Macaca mulatta: one gene and its partner. The protein of the gene in region 1 interacts with the protein of each later gene in a biochemical or structural test. Links are inferred from orthologs where the notes say so. Each region holds a gene or a part of one and is shown on either strand. Other genes may lie near its edges. The genes, in order: COIL and VRK1.

Evidence for each region.
Region 2: of the proteins of COIL (region 1) and VRK1, one has a biochemical effect on the other in vitro, tested with the Homo sapiens proteins (2 studies listed by BioGRID and IntAct, with this or other methods). The link is inferred for Macaca mulatta from reciprocal best matches to the Homo sapiens genes COIL and VRK1.

What each region holds. Positions count from the first base shown.
Region 1 is NC_133421.1:53,038,816-53,043,175, forward strand, and holds the start of COIL (coilin), read left to right. Parts: upstream 1-1,419; 5' UTR 1,420-1,427; coding exon 1,428-1,672; intron 1,673-4,360. UniProt on the Homo sapiens protein: Component of nuclear coiled bodies, also known as Cajal bodies or CBs, which are involved in the modification and assembly of nucleoplasmic snRNPs.
Region 2 is NC_133412.1:170,104,369-170,108,752, forward strand, and holds the start of VRK1 (serine/threonine-protein kinase VRK1), read left to right. Parts: upstream 1-1,537; 5' UTR 1,538-1,626; intron 1,627-1,797; exon of another isoform or gene 1,798-1,972; intron 1,973-4,384. UniProt on the Homo sapiens protein: Serine/threonine kinase involved in the regulation of key cellular processes including the cell cycle, nuclear condensation, transcription regulation, and DNA damage response.

The DNA of each region.
Region 1 (4,360 bases):
TCTGCCTATGGAGTTAGCCATTCTTTTATTCCTTTAATTCTCTAATAAACTTGCTTTTGGTCAGAGGTGGTGGCTCACGCCTGTAACCCCACCACTTTGGGAGGCCAAGGCAGGCAGATTGCTTGAATTCAGGAATTCAAGACCAGCCTGGCCACCATGGAAAAACCCCATCTCTACAAAAATTACAAAAAGTAACTGAGCACGGTGGCTGACGCCTGTGGCTCCAGTTACTAGGGAGGCTGAGGTGGGGAGTCACTTGAACCTGGGAGGCAGAGATTGCACCACTGCACTCCAGCCTGGGTGACAGAGTGAGACTCTAAAAAAAAAAATCCAAAAAACCCTACTTTCCATTAAGAAATTTTGTTTCATCTACTGACTCCCTGATATCTACAACTTAACTAGTCTAGTGAACTTGGGGAAGTTACATTTTTTTTTTTAAGACAGAATCTTGCTTTGTTGCCCAGGCTGGAGTGCAGTGGCACGATCTTGACTCACTGCAACCTCCACCTCTTGGGTTCAAGCGATTCTACTGCCTCAGTCTCCCAAGTACCTGGAATTATAGGCACATGCCACCAAACCCCGCTAATTTTTTATTTTCAGTAGAGTTGGGGTTTCACCATTTTGGCCAGGGTGGTTTCAAACTCCTGGTCTCAAGAGATCCGCCCACCTTGGCCTCTCAGAGTGCTGGGATTACAGTCGTCAGCCACTGCTCCTGGCCTCTAGTTACTTCTTAAACTCTCTGAACCTTGTTTTTTTTAAATCCTCTAAATGAGGATAATAGTTCATAATTCCTAACTTTTGTCATGAAAATTAAAGAGTTAATATATATTATGTGGAGAAATGTAAATTCTAGTTCAAAAAATATAAGAAATAATGTAAATTCTGATTTACTTATCTGGTGAGAAATGCAAGGACATTTTTCTTTGGTTGTGGGTATTAAAAGGCTAAGGTATTTATATTCCACTGGATACATTTGGAAGAATGATTACCAGTTTTATTTCAAAATTTCAACATTGAGAACACACTAGGACTTACATCTTTTTCAACTCATGATGAAAAATTTTGTCAGTGAAATGTGTTGTTACGATTGTTTTATAAAAATCTTTTATGTCGATGAGCAAATATCTTAGACCACTGCTGAGGAGAAATGTTATTTATCCAGAGACTTGCCTTAATTAGGAGACCCTACATAGCGCCCAGTAGAAATGTAATAAAGGCATTTCACTTATTCCCTTTCTCAGCCCTGCCGTGAACAAACTTGAATGAAAAAAATCAACCACGCTCCGAGTGCGCGCCTAGACGCAGCCTGTAGTAGTCAGGTTCCACCACTAGGTGGCACACGCCAAAGGCTCCGGGGGGCGGGCCGCCCGAGCACGCCTCTCGGTAGCCCCGTGGTATCTCTCGGCTTCCGTTGAGCACCGAGCAAGATGGCAGCTTCCGAGACGGTTAGGCTACGGCTTCAATTTGATTACCCGCCTCCAGCTACCCCGCACTGTACGGCCTTCTGGCTTCTGGTCGACTTGAACAGATGCCGAGTCGTCACAGATCTCATTAGTCTCATCCGCCAGCGCTTCGGCTTCAGTTCTGGGGCCCTCCTAGGCCTCTACCTGGAGGGGGGGCTCCTGCCCCCCGCCGAGAGCGCGCGCCTGGTGAGAGACAACGACTGCCTCAGGTGCGCGGCGCAGGGAGCGGGACGGCCGGGTGGGCGGTGGGAGGGGGACGCGCCTGCGCACGCCCGGGCTTGAGGCCGCTAGACCTGGTTGTGGAGGGCATGGGGAATGGGGAAGGGGACGAGGGTTAGAGGGGGTGGGGCTGTAAAAATGCACGTTCGCTAACCCGGGAGATACTGATTGGTGTAGTCAACTTTGGGGCTCAGGAATCACATTTTATTATTTATTTATTCATTTGAGACAGAGTCCTGCTTTGTCGCCCAGGCTGGAGTACAGTGGCGTGATCTCGGTTTACTGCAACCGCCGCCTCCCGGGTTCGAGCAGTTTTCCTGCCTCAGCCTCCCGAGTGGCTGGGACAACAGGCGTCCGCCACCACACCCAGCTAATTTTTGTATTTTTAGTAGAGATGGAGTTTTACCACAGTGGTCTAGGTGGTCTCGAGCTCTTGACCTCAGGTGATCCGCCAGCCTTGGCCTCTCAAAGTGCTGGGATTACAGGCGTGAGCCACCCCACCCTGCCCCTATTATTTTTATTTTTGAGACTGAGTCTCGTTCTGTTACCCAGGCTGAAGTGCAGTGGCGCGATCTCAGCTCACTACAACCTCCACCTCCCGGATTCAGTTGATCCTCCCACCTCAGCCTCCTGAGTAGCTGGGATTACAGGCGTTCACCACCATGCCCAGCTAATTTTGTTGTTGTTGTTGTTGTTGTATTTTTAGTAGAGACAGGGTTCACCATGTTGGCCAGGCTGGTCTTGAACTCCTGACCTTAAGTGATCTTCCCGGCTTTCCAAAGTGCTGGAATTAACAGGCGTGAGCCTCTGCGCCTGGCCGGAATCTGCATTGTAACCAGCAACCTCCCCGGGATGCTTCTATGACAGGAGAATCAAACTTGGAAAAACCCTGATGCCTAAGGGCAGGGCCAGGGTTTCTTTCAGCCTTGATTTAGCACATCCACGCTTAGCTAGGCACTGTGGGACTCTGTTCCGTGTCCATGGTGCAAATGTGCGGGAGACCCGGCCTTACCCTTGGTGGCCTTCACGGTCAGGTGCAGGAGACACAAGCTGATAAAGGGGAATCGTCGCGTTTTCTTTGTAACATGCTGTTGTCCAGCCTTAGTTCTCTTGTGCCCGGTGTCCCCTGAGACTTCTGGTGGCGTATCATTTTGTGTCTCACCCAGACATTTTGGGGTTTTCTCAAATAAGTGTCTTGAGTCCTTTTGGGCTGTAAATTGGGAACCACAAAATAATCTTAAATGTGCTTTTGGAAGTTAAAAAAATGATAATGAGGTGAGTATCCAGGAGCAATTGTAGTATGAATTGCTGAAATGTGGTTGAGTTGCCACAGTCAGATGATGGTATCACCAGTTTGGATTCATGTCTTGGACCGATTTATTCAGGCTTTTTTTTTTTTTTTTCTTTTTTAAACAAAGAGACTGGGTTTCCCATGCCCAGGCTGGAGTGCAGTGGTGCGGTCATAGCTTGCTGTAGCCTCGACCTCCTGGGCACAGGCAATCCTCCCACCTCAGCCTCCCAAGTAGTTGGGACTTCAGGCTAGGCAACCACGCCTGGCTAGTTTTTGTATTTGTTGTAGAGACAGGGTTTTGCCATGTTACCCAGGCTGATCTCAAATCCTTGGGCTCCAGCTGTCCTCTCTTCTCAGCCTCCCAAAGCACTGGGATTACAGGCGTGAGCCACTGTGCCAGCCTTCCTTCCCCCCACCCCCTTTAAGCTTCAGCTACAGTGAATTAATTCCAGAGTTGTGAACCAGGCTATTTTCTCTTGCTGCCCTTTGTTGTTGAATATTCCTTACCCTCAAGCATATCAGATTCTGTAAGATTTCTTCAGAACATCAAGGAATTTAATTTGGAACAATAACTGCATCTTCAAATCAGGATGTTATGATTTATTGCATAATGTTCAACTGTTTCAAATGACAATTTGAAATAATCCGAATTTCAAAGAGTTTTTCCCCCCTTTTTATCGACTGTGAAATAGGTCTCTATTCTCTCTGCAATTGAAGGATTATTTAAATATTACAATTCTAAGGATTGTGTCCCATCCTATTAAGATTACTTTCTGAACTGTCCCTTGACTAATGAGTTAATAACTTGTGCTAGCTAACTAGAATTATACTTTAATGAATCATCTGGGCATTACATTCTTCATAATGAAGTTAACAATGACAAAAACCATGAAAATTGTTATAAGTAATAATTACAACACGATGACAGGCAAATCCTTCCTAAATACTTCAAATGCACAGCTGCATGTGGCAAAAAAATACCTCTGTAGTGGCTTCTGTGGCAAATGGGCAGACTATAGAAAAAGATGAATCTGGAAAATTCATCTTTATTTTTGTTGTTTTATGCCCGCAATCATTGTTTTTTCCTAACAGATTCACTTTTCTTCAGAGCTACAGAAGAAAACATAGTCTCTGTTCTCAAAGTACCCAATATCGTTGGACTGGGACCCCAATAATGAGTTTCATGCTTTTGTATATTACCTTCTGTGATACGGGCAATTAGACTGAATAGTTAAACCAAGTTATACTGGTAAGTGCAGAAGCTGGTTGAGAAAAGGGAGATCAGCATGGAACAAAATGGTCAGGGAATTGAGCAGTACCTTGAAGAATGGGTGGGAAATGTTGGATGATCAAAGCACAGCTGTAGAGACAAAAGCTGGCTGGACTT
Region 2 (4,384 bases), on another chromosome or scaffold:
ATGAGACTATTTACAATGGTGTTGGGGGTAGGAACCACGACAGAGGGAGCAGTAACTTGTGGGTCAGCAGCAGCCGTGATGTTATCACTTCCAGACCTGAGGCACAAAGGAAGGGCTATTACCGCAAACTGGAGGGAGGGCCAGGGAGCAGTGACCTTCAGCTGAGGGACCTGCCAACTGGAGGTGACCTTGCCAGTAAGGATCCAGGGGCCTAACCTACTCTAACCGACCTTTCTTTTTCCTCCAGTCTTCTGTGGGGTTCTCCACTGAGCACACCCTAAAGCCAGGGAGCCCAGGGAGCCCAGGGAGCCCTGGGAGCGTGAAGCAATTTGTAGAGGTCAGCCTCCCGGGGCAGAGGGCAGGCAGGAGAAGTATTTGGAGCATACGCAGATGAGGGTATCTGGAGGGGAAAATGTAAGACATCAGGCACTATACTGAACTGTCTAATGGACAGAGTGATTTCAGGTTTTGTAGGGACTGAAGTTCACGTAATTTTGGAGGATCTACTTTAAGAAAAATCAGCTGGGTGTGGCGGCTCATGCCTGTAACTCTAGTGCTTTGGGAGGCCGAGGTGGGGTGGATTGCTTGAGCTCAGGAGGGCAAGACCAGCCTGGGCAACATGGTCAAACCCTGTGTCTACAAAAAATACAAAAATTAGCCAGGAGTGGTGGCCTGTGCCTGTAATCCCAGCTACTTGGGGGGTTGAGGTGGGAGGATTGCTTGAGCCCAGGGGGTCGCGGCTGCAGTGAACGGAGATTGCGCCAAAGCACTGCAGCCTGGGTGACAAAGTGAGATTCTATCTTAAGAAAAAAAAAAAAAGAAAAGTAAAATTGACAAATAAAAAGCAAAAAGCTATGTAAACTCATTGAAGGACCTGCGCAAGTGAGGTCCTGAAGCTTACGCTTCATTGGCTTCATTGTTAATCTCCCTCTGCCTGTGACTTCAGTGATTTTGACCTAGAACAGTGACCCAGTGCCCAATAAGCTTTCAGTCTCATGGATGATGGAGACTTAGCTGAGTATAATAAACACAATGCAAACTGTGGCATACGTTGATTACAGGTGAAACACTGCAGAGGATTAGGTAGACATTGAGATAGGCTTTGAAATAGGCTTCGAAAAACAGTAGGATTTAGACACATGTCAATGATTGGGCAGAATAATACTAATACTATCTGCTATTTATTGAGCACCAACTAAGTTTAAAGTACTGTCTATAGATTATTTCATTTAATCCTAACAGAAACAGGAAACTTATTTTACATCCAACTCTCTGCCAACACAATAAATCAAGCTACTAAGAACAGGGCTGTAAACCATATTTCCTAGAATGCTAGGGAGCAGAAGGACGGGGATCTCCCTTTGCCGCTAAGAGACTCCAACTCCCAGGATGCCTTGGGAGCGCTGGACCACAGCTCCCGGCATTCCCGGGGAGGCGCGGGGCTAGCGTAGCCTCCGTCCCGCCCCGCCGCGTTCCCGCTCGTCCCGCCCCTCCCGTCGCCTCCGAGCCAATGGGAAGGCTCCATACTGCAGGGTGCCAAGGGGCCGGCGCCGCTGCCGAGTTGCGAGTCGGCGAAAGCGGCGGGAAGTTCGTACTGGGCGGAAGGTGACGGCTCTGCGACTTAGGGTAGGGAGGCCGCAGGCGACACTGCTCGAGGACTCGCGCGCCTAGCTGGGGGCGCGGAGGAGGGCGGCCGGGGGCTGGGCCGGCACTGGGCCTTCCGGGCGGTCTGTGGGTCCGCCGGGGTGCGGAAGGCGCCGTCAGCCCTGGCTGCCCCGCGGGACCGCGCTCCGCCGCGTGGCTTCCGCCTGCGCGGGCGTTCACTCTTTGCTTGTCTCGCTCAGGCCCCGCTGGCGATCCCGGGGATTCCTGGACTGGCCAGGCCGGCCCCCATCTGAGCTCCACGTTCTGGACGCGCGTGGTGTCGCGGCCGAGCTCGCAAACGCCGCCTCGGGCGTCGCCGGGAAGCTGGGTCTGTCAGGCGGGGCCCCTGCCCCGCGGAGCTCGCTGTCTACTAGGGAAACAACACACGCAGCTGCGATGCTTTGCGGATACGGACATGCTTTCTTAGAAACGGGACAGGCAGTTGCGGGCTAGAGGAATGGGCGCGAGGCTCTTTAGGTTAGGTGATCCGGAAGGTCATCTCAGAGGATGTGACCTTTGACTTGAAACCTGAGAGGGAAGAGAGAGGCTGACCCCTGAGGATAGCAGCCAGGCCTGGGGACCGCGAGGCCGCCCGTTATTTCCCTGTCACGTCGCGGGGAGGCCCCGTGGTCTTGTACTTGAGGGTCTGTCTGGTGCAAGGCAGTTAGAGCCGCTTGTGGGTTTTGCAAAGGACTTTCGTATCCCGTTTGACAGTTCCTCCTCTGTTCTGTCCCTACCTGGCAGGGTGGCATCCTTTACTGTTGCAGCTCCTTTCAAGGGCAACGCATAGTTTTTCCTGCCACCGAAATAGTATTTTGGTTCTCGTCTCAAAACTCTTAGGTGATTGAATTAAATTCGACAGACAGCAGCGGAGTCAGACACTACAGGTTCCTGTTGAGGCCACCCATTTTTCTGATGTCCTTTCTTTCAAGTCACCCATTTTTGTTTTCCTTTGTATAGGCTCTTGCCTTCCCTCTTCTGTGTCCCTTTCTTGGAACAACTTGGAAACACCAGTTTTGCTATTGGGAGGATGTTTTAGGGAACTGTTGAAGAACCTCATTAATTACTGTGTGTGTGTTTTTCTTTTCTTTTCTTTTCTTTTTTTTTTTTTAAATTGGAATTGCCCATCTGTTGAATCTGAAATTCAAAAGAGTAAAAAAAATGTAGGGCAGCATTTATTTTCAAGAGTTCGCAATAAAGGCACCTTTCTTTATGACATGCTGAGCATGATACTTTGGGGGAGAATTTAATCTAGAATTTTGAAGCATTTTCAGAAGGAAGCAAGGGTTCTTTATATAGTCTTTATGTAGGTTACGTTTATGTTCTTCAAAATGGCATGTAGTGATTGGAATTACATTTCTGGGTGGATATTATTATGTTCATCTGTTACCTATAGAAAGGAATATAACTTAGTCACTTAATAATAGCTTTCTCTGTTGATGCTACCACAGATGGTATTCTCTACATCTCAACATTGCTGATCAGATTCTGTGTTAATACAGTAACACAACTTGAATTTAATAACAATAAACTTGTGTTAGGCGTTACTGTCAATTTAGTTCTGGTATCTAGTACAAATACCAGCTTTATAGTGCAATGGCTTCTTGTTATGCTCAGTGCTGCAAAAATTATGAGAGGATATTTGTTAAACAAATGAGATAATGGAGTAATGTGTTAAGCATAGAGCCTGGCATATAGTAAGTTAGTAAGTGCCCAGGAAATGGTTATATGGAAAGCTTATGCTAAGTTTTATTCCAGTATGCAAGTGTATATTTTAAAAATAACAGTAATGCATTCAAAATGTTGACAGACCCTAAAATTAAATTTCTTAAAGGAAATAGGCCAGCTTTTTTTTTTTTTTTAACTTTGAGAACTAATGTGAAATAATAATAAATATATAAGTGAAATGTCCCAGATGTCTAGAAATGAAAAAACAAGATTTTAATTTTGACAGCTATATTTTTTTTTCTTAAAAGCATCCCTAATAAGATATAATGTACTATGATTAGGATTATGATTTGAAAAATAAAACTTTAAAAATATTTTTGATTTGAAAAATAAAACTTATTTGGAAATGAAGCGAAGCTTTAAGATTTACCTTATATCAAATGAAGGATGTCTCCTGAATTTATGCAAATGTGCAAATGCTTATATCTCCATAGATCAGGCAGTGAGCCTAATGGGAATTAAATGCTCCCTCTTTGTGCGTGTGAGTGAGGCTTTCATGAAAATTGCTCTTGATGGGTTCTGAGAATGGATTGGTAACTGAATAGGACTGGAGAATATTTTTCAGACTGGTAGGATATTTTACATGCTTGCCAGGGTTATTTTTCGGAGAAGAAATGGACTCATTTATTCACCAGAGATCACGTGCCCCCTATTTGCAAGGAATTGTGCTAGGTGCAAAGTCTGTTCTTGCTATTGTAGTGTTTTGCCAAAGCAAGTTTTCTTTGTTTTAAATTAATGTGTGTCTGTTTTGTTTTTTTTTTTTAAACTTTATCTAGCATCCAGCACAGAATAATCCAATAAATGTGTAGAGCACATTTGAAAAACTGTACTATTAATGTTAAAATGTAGAAAATGTTTAATAAAGGTGCAAGATTAATTTAAAAGGGTGATAGAACCCTAATAAAACATTTAGGTAGGTGTTGTAACCAAGATGTAATTTTACTGTAGGATAAGTTTGGCTCCTTTGATCAAAATTCCTGTGAATCTATTTCTCATTGCCATTATAAAGATG